Linked DNA regions of Macaca mulatta. The protein of the gene in region 1 binds, or shares a complex with, the protein of each later gene. Links are inferred from orthologs where the notes say so. Each region holds a gene or a part of one and is shown on either strand. Other genes may lie near its edges.

Evidence for each region. Proteins that work in one complex are often made in the same cells at the same time.
Region 2: SNRPG (region 1) and SCNM1 share a complex: the UniProt entries of both Homo sapiens proteins name them as parts of the minor spliceosome. The link is inferred for Macaca mulatta from reciprocal best matches to the Homo sapiens genes SNRPG and SCNM1.

Annotation. Positions count from the first base shown.
Region 1 is NC_133418.1:54,439,200-54,444,746, reverse strand, and holds part of SNRPG (small nuclear ribonucleoprotein G), read right to left. Parts: intron 3,135-5,547; coding exon 3,112-3,134; intron 2,254-3,111; coding exon 2,129-2,253; intron 1-2,128. UniProt on the Homo sapiens protein: Plays a role in pre-mRNA splicing as a core component of the spliceosomal U1, U2, U4 and U5 small nuclear ribonucleoproteins (snRNPs), the building blocks of the spliceosome.
Region 2 is NC_133406.1:115,921,311-115,927,578, reverse strand, and holds SCNM1 (sodium channel modifier 1), read left to right. Parts: upstream 1-2,107; 5' UTR 2,108-2,221; coding exon 2,222-2,272; exon of another isoform or gene 2,273-2,321; intron 2,322-2,546; coding exon 2,547-2,617; intron 2,618-2,973; coding exon 2,974-3,062; intron 3,063-3,159; coding exon 3,160-3,257; intron 3,258-3,364; coding exon 3,365-3,453; intron 3,454-4,486; coding exon 4,487-4,681; intron 4,682-5,616; coding exon 5,617-5,716; 3' UTR 5,717-5,767; downstream 5,768-6,268. Other genes in the region: LYSMD1 (lysM and putative peptidoglycan-binding domain-containing protein 1), read right to left, coding at 1,148-1,327. UniProt on the Homo sapiens protein: As a component of the minor spliceosome, involved in the splicing of U12-type introns in pre-mRNAs. Plays a role in the regulation of primary cilia length and Hedgehog signaling.

The DNA.
Region 1 (5,547 bases):
GTGCAGTGGTGTGATCTCAGCTCACTGCAGCTTCGACTTCCTGGGTTCAGGTGATCTTCCTGCCTCAGCCTCCTGAGTAGCTGGGACTACAGGTGCACACCACCACGCCCAGCTAATTTTCTAAATTTTTTGTAGAGATGAGGTCTCACTATGTTGCCCAAGCTGATCTTGAACTCCTGGGCTCAAGAGATCCTCCTGCTTCAGCCTCTCAAACTGCTGGGATTATAGATGTGAGCCACTGTGCCCAGCCAATACACACATAACTGCAATAAAACAGTATTAAGTAATTTCAGTGGCCTCAATGGATCACTGACTTGGACAAGGTAATATTGAAACCAACTGTCCTTTGTCAAACAACTTCTAACAAAATGAACAAAATCTTAACCTATTTGTTTCCCTTCCTCCAACTTTAGAAAAGTCAAAAAGTTCATCTCTGTTCTTGCCTTTTAAAATGTCTTTTTATTAAAGAAGACTGATGTATTATTATTTCTTTTTCAAAGTGAAGACTCAGCAGCAAGAATCATTGTCTGTTGATGAAAACTTTTTTTTTCTTCGGCTGGGGGTTGGGGGTGTGTGTGTCACCTAAACCTCAGAGATGGAACAGGAGGCTGCCCAACACACTAAGTAGGTAATCATTACTTAAATGACTTGGGATGGCAGTGCTTTCAACTAATTTCTGTGCAAAGAAAATTAAGTCCATAAAGTTTTGGGGGAAAATTGACAGAGGGATGCTCTATTCCTTCTCTGATAAAATTCCAATGAGCAGTGTGTTATATAATTCTCTAATTTTCTCAAAGCAGAATTGACAATTAGGATTCCTTCCTGAATCCTTTTCAGCAAATTTGTTGCAAGGAACTAAAAACCGAATCCAGCTTCTATTAGAATGAAAATTTATTTGTAAAAATAAGGGCTTAGAGGAAAATCTTGGGGTATCTAGAAAGTGTTTTTATAAGGACTTGTCTACTAATGATGCTGGCAGCCTTATTCAACAGAAGCTCATAAGGGAATATACCTGAAAGACAAGTCAATTTACAAGGAACTTGGGGGTACAGTGTGGTATCTGGAGACTCTAAACTGTTTTTTCAGTCATGACTATCGATTTGCTTTTCAAAATATAGTAGTGAAAAAGTAACTGAAATAAGTCTCCGAAATAAGTATCTGAAAAAAGTATCTGAAATAAGTAATAACACAAACCTTAGAAAGAATGGTATGTAAAAAAATTAAACAGGCAGAGATGTCAAAATAGGTCTATCTTCAACTGTACTGCTCAAACTTAAAAATCAAAGTTAATAAATCAAGGCTAATAATTAGCAACTCTTAACACTCCTTGGAGGTCTTTATGCTTAATAATTTGCTAAAAGTAAGTTGTCCTTTTTGGCTCACCTTTTTCAATAACTTTGGGTCTACCACTTTATTAGGTATGTTGTCCTGTGTTAGACAAAGAAGGACTCAAAGTGGGGGTATCAAAACTCTTCTTCAGTAATCACTAAAACTACAGCCCAATGAATGTAGGAATGTTTAATCCTATGAGGGCTCAGTATGTGCTTTTTAATTTTTTCCTGCTTTTTCTCTCATGTGAATAACTGTCACTGTGATTATCCCTTGTAACGTTTACCTTGGCTACCTTAAAATTTTGGTATGGTAAACCAGAAAACCCAGGTTAACTATGTATACAAGTAAAACCAGAAAGTGTTATCTGTGAACTGGCAGATCTGCATTAGGCATTAGGAAAATTGCAAAACCTTAATAAGTTCCGCCCCACACCTACTGAAGTAGAATCTTCATTTTAACAAGATTCCCTGGGGATTCATATACACGTTAAGGTTTCAGAACTCCTGCTCTAATGAAGGACCGACTATGAGCCTCTATTGTAGAATAAAGCTCAAAAAGGATTTCCAACAGCTGTTTCAAGCCCTAGGACCTTAGGTTCTGTATAGTTGAGATATTACCTACAGGTAACCAGGATATTACCACATCTGAGTAACTGCCATATGTTCAACTAAAAAGGAAATGGAAAGTCTAATCTTGCCTATTATTTGCCATTTCTGGGGGTTACTAACTAGGAAAGTTAATACACATTCCAAAAGAAAAATGAAATATCCAAGAGAAATCTTGTATCTTTACTTACCACCATTCCAATATTGTTCTGTTGCCCACTAGTTGCCATCTCCACACATTCATCTATCACAAGGTTCATAAAGGGATCAAATCCCCGCAATATTCCTTGGACATGTCTGCCACCATTTAATTTCACTATTAAAAAGGGAAAAAGACGTTTTAGATAAACTGTCCATTAGCTATCAAGCATTCACTAGAAATCAGGTGGGATAAAACACAAGTATTTGAGATGTTTGACCCACTATCCTTACTGTATGCCAAGAACTGGGTTAAACATTTTTGTATTTACTTCCACATTTTAATTTATAAGAATCCTAAAAAGTAGTATTATCCTTACTTTATCGGACAGAACTAAACTTTAGAGCTTTTTAAAATTTTTATAAAGATGGGGGCTCCCTATGTTGCCCAGGCTGGTCTCCAACTCCTGAGCTCAAGGGATCCTTCTGCTTTGGCTTCCCAAAGTGCTGGGATTACAGGTGTAAGCCACCGTGCCCAAGCTTTTAAGTAACTGGGTTCATGGTTATACAGCTACTGTATGGTAGAAGTGAGACTCAAGCTGAAGGCTGCTTGCTTCTAACACTCACGGTTTTTTTCCCCTACATATATTTCAAGTACTGCGTGGGTCAGATTTTTAGATAAATTGAACAAATCTGTTATTCCTACATATTCCCAAGAAACAAAATAATTGTTTCTTGTCTAAGTCCTTTGTAGCTTGTTTAAAGAAAAAAGGTTGATAAATCCTGTTAATTTTGCCAGAGTGAGGAAAGGCTTATATAAGATAAAAGTCTGAAGTGCTGTTAAATTAATTCAATATCAGAAATTAGGTAAATAAAATTGTCAAGTTAGGATTAAGTAATCTGTTTAATTAATGGATGTGAATTAGAGGTCCTGTGTGCTTTAAATTTTTATAAAGTTGCTCCAAACATATTGCTAAGACACACGTAAAAAGCAACTGAATGATTTAAAAAAACTCCAAAACAACAACAAACTTACATGATAACTTCTTGTCCATAAATCTGAAAAAGGAAAAGGGTAAAGATTATATAACCAATTAAAAAAATTTAAGCATAAACAAGTACATAAATAGGTACAGTTAAGATAATTTGCTAAAATTTATACAATGGGAATAATGAAATTTAAAATAGTAAAAATACTGTATTGCTGTACAGAGTGAGGGAGTAGGGCGAGGTAGCTCATGCCTGTAACCCCAGCACTTTAGGAGGCTGAGGTCGGAGAATCACTGGAGCCTGCGAAGTTGAGTCTGCAGTGAGCCATGAATGCGCCACTGCATTCCAGCTTGGGCAGTAGAGTGAAACCCTGTCTCAGGTTAAAAAAAAAAAGAGAGGGGGCATAAAGGGTTACCTAAATTAGACATTCTACAACGCAAAGTAACTTGGGAAGAGGAAAGACAATAAAAATGAAATATATTTAAACTATATTAATCTGGCCGGGCGCGGTGGCTCAAGCCTGTAATCCCAGCACTTTGGGAGGCCGAGACGGGTGGATCACGAGGTCAGGAGATCGAGACCATCCTGGCTAACACGGTGAAACCCCATCTCTACTAAAAAATACAAAAAACTAGCCGGGCGAGGTGGCGGGCGCCTGTAGTCCCAGCTACTCGGGAGGCTGAGGCAGGAGAATGGCGTAAACCCGGGAGGTGGAGCTTGCAGTGAGCTGAGATCCGGCCACTGCACCCCAGCCTGGGCGACAGAGCAAGACTCCGTCTCAAAAAAAAAAAAAAAAAAAAAAAAAAAAAAAAAAAAAAAAAAAAAAACTATATTAATCTACATATACTAATGTGAATTATGAAAACATTCTTATTGTTCAATACTATGTTGTTTCATTGACCGAAGTTTCTTTCTTTCTTTTTCTTTTTTTTAAAGAGATGGAGTCTCACTATGTTGCCAACCTGGTCTTGAATTCCTGGCCTCAAAAAATATGCTCCCCCTCAGCCTCCTAAAGTGCTGCTGGGATTACACAGGCATGAGCTACCACATCTGGTCTCGCTAACCTAATTTTCAATGATTGGATTTTATAGTCATAAGAGAAAAACAAAGACTTGCCTACATTTGGTTATTTCCAAAACTAAGTTGTAAAGACAGCAAACAGTAATCAAATCATATCCAATTCAACAAGTATTTTATATTTGAGATAAATAGTGTTCATTTAATATTAAAGCATCAAGCATAAATGTTCAGGGTAGTCTTCAACATTTAAGTATACTTTAGTATAATAAATGCACATTTGAAACTTCAAACAATATGAATTAAAAGAAAATTCTATTTTAGTGGAATACGAGAATACTAAGCCATCAGTCAAACCAGTTTTTAACCTCTTCCATTTATAGGCCAGAAAACATGAAATTTCATTCAAATTTTAAAATATAAAAAAATGGAAAAAAAAAGTTTAGTATATGGGCCATGAAGTGGGGAACTTAGTCAATTTTAATGTATAGGATTATCATGGGAGAATGTAAATATAAAACAAGGAGCATGACTGAAGGAGGGAGTAGATACATTTACAAGTGAAAATATATTTATGGGCCATGTGCAGTGGCTCATGCCTATAATCCCAGCCCTTTGGGAGGCTGAGACAGGTGGATCACTTGAGGTCGGGAGTTCAAGACCAGCCTGATGAACATGAACATGGAGAAACCCCGTCTCTACTAAAAAAAAAAAAAAAAAAAAAAAAAAAAAAAAAAAAAAAAATTAGCCGGGTGTGGTGGTGCATGCCTGTAGTCCCAGCTACTCGGGAGGCTGAGGCAGGAGAATTGCTTGAACCCGGGAGGCACGGGTTGCGGTAAGCCGAGATTGCACCATTGCACTCCAGCCTGGGAATTAAGAGTGAAACTCCATCTCAAAAAAAAAAAAAAAAAAAAAAAAAAAATATATATATATATATATGTATATATATAAAAAAAAGTAATATATATGTAATATTATATGTAAAATTATATATGTAATATATATTACATATTATATATAATATATACACACATTTATGAAGTATGATGAACAAAACTATTTTAATAAGATACATAAAACATATCAAATATAACACAAGATCTTATACAATCTTTACAATGACTTTGCATGCAATTATGGTCTGTCATTTCTACCGTTTTTACAGATGGAGAACTAGGCTTGGAAAAGGTAAATCAATTTTTCGAAGTCACACAGCAAGTGAGAGCAAACACAAATAGTTCAGTCTGACTGGAGAAGAGAACACGTGAGTATTAGCAGCTGTAAGGTTTGGCGTTTGAATGCTGGCTTAAGTATAGATTCAGTTTTGCATACTGTGATAAATTATTAAAGCTGTCACTGGCAAGACCACTGTGGCAGCAAATTTTAAGAAGTGGAAGGAAGAATTCGGTTAAGCCAGTGTATCTCAACTTCTGCACTAATGACACTTGGGACCAGGTAATTTTGT
Region 2 (6,268 bases), on another chromosome or scaffold:
AGTGGTGCGATCTCAGCTCATCACAACCTTCACCTCCCAGCTTCAAGCAATTCTTCTGCCTCAGCCTCCTGAGTAGCTGGGATTTCAGGCGAGCACCACCACGCCCGGCTAATTTTTGTATTTTTAGTTGAGACAGTGTTTTGCCACGTTAGCCAGACTGGTCTCGTACTCATAACCTTAGGTGATCCACTTGCCTCAGCCTCCCAAAATGCTAGGATTACAGGGGTGAGCCACCATGCCTGGCCCTGATTCTTTGTTAATACCTTTACAAATTCACCACGTTCTGTCATTTGTAATCATTATTTGTGTACCTGTTTATTTCTCATTAGGCCATAAATTACATGAGGACAGCAACCATATAGTTTAAGTTTCTGTCTCCCAGAAAAGTTATCACAGTGCTTTAAATGTTGGCTAAAGCATAAAAATGTTGGCTAAATTCAACATTTGCTTGAGTGAGATGGAACAAGAAAACAGGGGTGGGGGTAGGGGGAGTAACCTCATCAACTTCAATGCTATACATTTTTACATCTATCCAATTTCCCCCATGCATGACCTGAAATACTTGGTGTAGAGTACCTGTTTTGTGCCAGGGAAGCCGCCTTACTAGAAAGAAGGCAGAGCACTGAGGAGGAACCAAGAGCAAGGAGAGGTAGGCACTTTAGGAACTGAGAACTAAAAATAAGCTCTCCATTATTTGCTGTAAACGTTTAATCACTCTCAATGTAAAATTTTCTGTGTGGTTTACAGAGTCAGACAGACCTGTTTGAATCCCATATCTGACAATCATTATTTGACCTTAGTCAAAATGGTTAACCAATCCAAGTCTCAGTTTCTTCATCTGCCAAAAGGGAACAATAAATGTATACTTGATACGGACGTGAGGGTGAAATGAGCTAACGTATGTGAAGCCCCTAGCACAGTGTCTGGCATGATAAAATAGGAGCTGTTCCTCTCCATTGGAATAGTAGAGCAGAACTTGTCCCAACCACGCAGTGCAACACTGTGATGGGAAAACAAAGATAAAAGCAGAACAGAGTTCAACACATTAGGAACATTTCAGGGGAGGTTACCTAGAAGGTCCACTACATTCTTCTCAGGACTAAATCCCTCCTGACTCTTGTCTGCACCCCAATCCTGGAAAACTCACCGTCACCCCATATTTGAGTGCTAGTCCAGCCAGGGTGTCTCCGGGCTCCAAATGATGCTCCAGGCGTCTTTCCCTCACTGGGGAGCAGGCCGATTGCACCAGGCTTCCATATGAACGAGCCCGGCTCCCGTGAAGCAGTCCTGACCCCCCTGGCGGGGGCTGTCTAGACGGGGAAGCCATCTCTTCACCCTGCCGACAGCTAGGTTGCAACTAGGGGAGGCCCGACCGAGACTGCGAATGACAGGCCTGAAGTCTGGGAATAGATATTCAGGGGATTCCTTTCCCCTTCTCTCTTCCCCTGTGTCCCCGCCTCCCCAGCACTACGCCACCTGCCCCCTCCCGGTTTCTCCTCCCTCCAAGTCCTTATCCACAAATCTGTCCCTTGAGTATTCAGTCCCTCCCTGATTCGCCCCTAAGCACCCCTCCGACTTTGAACTCCCCCACAACTCCTCGCTACATTGACCTCTGACCTTTGAACTCTAGAAATAATCCTCAACACTCTTTCCTCAGTTTGCCCCCAAGTAGTCTGGCCTCAGGGCGCTCCCACATCCCAGCTCTGCCCGGTCCCGGGGTTTGTTTGCTAGAGCCAGGAACAAATCAGGCCCACCCCAGGTGAACTGTCGCCGCAGACGAAGAGCGTGAGGATTGCGAGAATTTGTAGTACACCTTCCACTCAGAGATCCTCAAAGGTCCGCTCCGCATCAGATAGGTCACACCCTCAAATTTCGGCTCCACATCTAGGTTCTTGTCCCTCTAAACGCCTCAGATCCACCAAGATGCAAGGGCCTGGATCCAGCTGAGCGGCAAGGTCTTTGAGGAAAAGACTTCATTTCCCAAAAGGCGTCGCGTCTGCGGAGTCGCACGGCACCATAGGAAATGCAGTTCCCTCCACGCGCCAGAGAGTGGATATCCGGATGGCGCAATGCATGCGTGGAAGTGCATTCCCGGAAGTACGGGGGCCGACAGGAAGACAAAGAGAAAAGAGAAGGCGCTGTCCCGCTCTTGCTACGGTGGCCTAGAGGAGTGGCGAAACCGGAACAAGAAAATTTATCACTTCTGGGACTCACAGTCGTGATGTCTTTCAAGAGGGAAGGAGACGATTGGAGTCAACTCAATGTGCTCAAAGTAAGCGTGAGCGGAGAGGATCTGCAGCCTCTTCAGTCGCTCTCTGAAGGTTGGGAAGGAGCTTTGTTTCATTGCTCTGGCAACAACTCGGGGGTGCAGGAGAGAACCAGGCGACTTAGAGCTGTGTAGTGACTCCTTTTTCGGTCTATGATCGCTGTTCTCCCCAGGGTCCTTATGTCCTTATTCCGTTTGACTCCTCATTTCTATCATTTAACTTCCATCCCTCTCTCCTATCCTGCTGATCCGTCCGGATTTCTTCCCCTACTCCCTGCAGAAAAGAAGAGTCGGGGACCTCCTCGCCAGTTACATCCCAGAGGATGAGGCGCTGATGCTTCGGGATGGACGGTAAGAGCGAGGAGTGGCTCAAGCCTGAGGGTTTTGCGGTTAGAGGCTCAATAGCTGTGTTGCCCAGGCTGTCCTTGAACTCTAGGGCTCAAGTGATCCTGCCTTCTCAGCGTCGCGATTAGCTGGGATTACAGGCGCACGCCACCACGCCCGGCTTCAACAAACTTTTGTTATTAATTAGGACAGCAGAAGTATCTAGGATTCTTTGGCGGCTAGTGAGGACTGGAAGAAGTGGAGATTGGGTCACCAGGGAGTTGGGTTTTGCAAAGACTGCTAGGACAGGGTGGGACTTACGGCAGGGACAGGCCCAACCCTCTTCCCCTGGACCAGTTATCCTCTTCTCTACCCCTGCTCAGCTTTGCTTGTGCCATCTGCCCCCATCGACCGGTACTGGACACCCTGGCCATGCTGACTGCCCACCGTGCAGGCAAGAAACATCTGTCCAGTAAGTTCGGGGGAAGACAGGGGATGGGGAATAAATCGAAATCTCTGCACACCAGCCTTGGTGCTATGCTTTTAATTCTGTTTCCCTTTCTCTTCAGGCTTGCAGCTTTTCTATGGCAAGAAGCAGCCGGGAAAGGAAAGGAAGCAGAATCCAAGACATCAGAATGAATTGAGGAGGGAAGAAACCAAAGCTGAGGTAATCAGAGAGTGGAGAGTGTGTTCTAGGCAAGACCCTGCTGCACACACCAGGCTGGAAGGGCAGAGGGCTGAAGGCTCTGACTCTGTCTCCCATCTTCTTACCAGGCTCCTCTGCTAACCCAGACACGACTTATCACCCAGAGTGCTCTGCACAGAGCTCCCCACTATAACAGTTGCTGCCGCCGGAAGTACAGGTATGGGAGGGGAAAGCCAGAGGTAGGAAGGCTCGGAAGGAGATAGAGGGCTCTGAAAGTGTTTTCCAGTCTGTATTCTGAGGAATACTAGCGTTCTGGAGATGTTACTTAGTGTTTCAAGAAAAGGAGAATTTTGGCCGGGCACGGTGGCTCACACCGGTAATCCCAGCACTTTTGGAGGCTTAGGCGGTGGATCACTTGAGATCAGGAGTTCAAGACCAGCCTGGCCAACATGGTGAAACCCCGTCTCTACCAAAAATATAAAAAATTAGCTGGGTGTGTGGTGTGTGCCTGTAATCCCAGCCACTCAAGAGGCCGAGGTGGAAGAATTGCTTGAATCCGGGAGGCAGAGGTTGCTGTGAGCCAGGATCATACCACTTCACTCCAGCCTAGGTGACAGAGTGAGACTCCATCTCAAAAGAAAAAGAAAAGGAGAATTTTGTGATTTTTAAATAAAGTTTGGGAAATGGCACTTTGTAATTCTACTTGAAGAGTAACAGTTTTAGGCCGGGCGCAGTGGCTCAAGCCTGTAATCCCAGCACTTTGGGAGGCCGAGACGGGTGGATCGCGAGGTCAGAAGATCGAGACCATCCTGGCTAACACGGTGAAACCCCGTCTCTACTAAAAAATACAAAAAACTAGCCGGGTGAGGTGGCGGGCGCCTGTATCCCAGCTACTCGGGAGGCTGAGGCAGGAGAATGGCGTAAACCCGGGAGGCGGAGCTTGCAGTGAGCTGAGATCTGGCCACTGCACCCCAGCCTGGGTGACAGAGCAAGACTCCATCTCAGAAAAAAAAAAAAAAAAAAAAGAGTAACAGTTTTAAAAGCTATACAAAGTCTTAAGAATTAAAAAAAAAACTTGTAAAATTTAAAGCTAGCCTTTCCCAAATTCATGATTCTAAAATCCTTTGTATGCAGAACTTACTAATATCTTGAAAAATATAGTTTAAGAAACACTGTTTTAAGAGGTTGGGAGTCATAGGAGAGTTGGCCCTTTCCCTTACTGCTTTTACAGACTATTCTTCTCTACCTAGACCAGAAGCCCCTGGTCCCTCTGTCTCCCTTTCTCCTGTGCCACCCTCAGAGGTCGAACTCCAAAGCGGGAAGATCAGTAGGGAACCTGAACCTGGGGCTGGCCCACAGGCCGAGGAGTCAGCAACTGTCTCAGCCCCTGCACCCATGAGCCCCACAAGAAGACGAGCCCTGGACCATTATCTCACCCTTCGAAGGTGAGTGTGCCTAATCAGTTTCCTCAGATTTTCTTTTCTCTCTGACCCTTCTTGTTTCAAAGCTTTTTTTTTTTTTTTTTTTTTTTTTTTTGAGACGGAGTCTCGCTCTGTCACCAGGCTGGAGTGCAGTGGTGTGATCTCATCTCAGCTCACTGCAACCTCCGCCTCCCAGGTTCAAGCGATTCCCCTGCCTCAACCTCTCGAGTAGCTGGGATTACAAGCATGTGCCACCATGCCTGGCTTATTTTTTGTATTTTAGTAGAGGCGGGGTTTCACTACGTTGGTGAGGATGGTCTCAATCTCCTGACCTTGTGATCCACCCACCTCGGCCTCCCAAAGTGCTGGGATTACAGGCGTGAGCCACCGTGCCCGCCCCCCATTTTTTTTTTTTTTTTTTTTTTTTGAGACAGAGTTTTGTGTGTTCCCCAGGCTGGAGTGCAATGACACAATCTTGGCTCACCACAACCTCCGCCTCCGGGGTTCAAGCGATTCTCTTGCCTCAGCCTCCCAAGTAGCTGGGATTATAGGCATGCCCAGCTAATTTTATATTTTTAGTAGAGACGGGGTTTCTCCGTGTTGATCAGGCTGATCTTGAACTCCCGACCTCAGGTGATCCACCTGCCTTGGCCTCCCAAAGTGCTAGGATTACAGGCGTGAGCCACCATACCCGGCCTCCTATTGTTGTTTTTTATCTTTGGTTTCGTTTTGTTTTATCCACCCAATTTACATGGCTCTCAATTTTTTCTCACCACTAACTTTTTTTTTTTGGTAGAGACAGGGTTTCACCATGTTGGTCATGCTGGTCTTGAACTCCTGACCTCAAGTGATCCACCCACCTTGGCCTCCCAAAGTGCTGGGATTACAGGTGTGAGCTCACCACTAACTTCTTAATAAGCCTCTTTCCTAATCGATGCTATTTTCTCTGATGTTTCCAGCTCAGGATGGATCCCAGATGGACGAGGTCGATGGGTAAAAGATGAAAATGTTGAGTTTGACTCTGATGAGGAGGAACCACCTGATCTCCCCTTGGACTGACACCCTTTTCCCATTCATTCACAAATACACTGCAATGGGTGCTGAGAACTTAACTTTCCTTAAGTCTGGTTCCTTGTCAGATCTCAGGATTTCAGATCTGTTCATTCTCAATCCAACTACTCCTTTCCTGCCATGTACACAGCTCTCCATACTTTTTTTTTTTTTTTTTTTTTTTGAGGCAGAGTCTTGCTCTGTCGCCCAGGCTGGAGTGCAGTGGCCCGATCTTGGCTCACTGCAAGCTCCGCCTCCCAGGTTCACGCCATTCTCCTGTCTTAGCCCCCTGAGTAGCTGGGACTACAGGTGCGCACCACCACACCCGGTTAATTTTTTGTATTTTTAGTACAGACGGTGTTTCACTGTGTTAGCCAGGTTGGTCTCGATCTCCTGACCTTGTGATACGCCCGCCTCGGCCTCCCAAAGTGCTGGGATTACAGGCGTGAGCCACCGCGCCCAGCCACAGCTCTCCATACTTCTAGCCCCTCCCCCACCTTCTACCAAAGCCATGCCAAGCGTCAGCTGCATCAGCCTGGTGCCCTATTAATAAGACTGTCA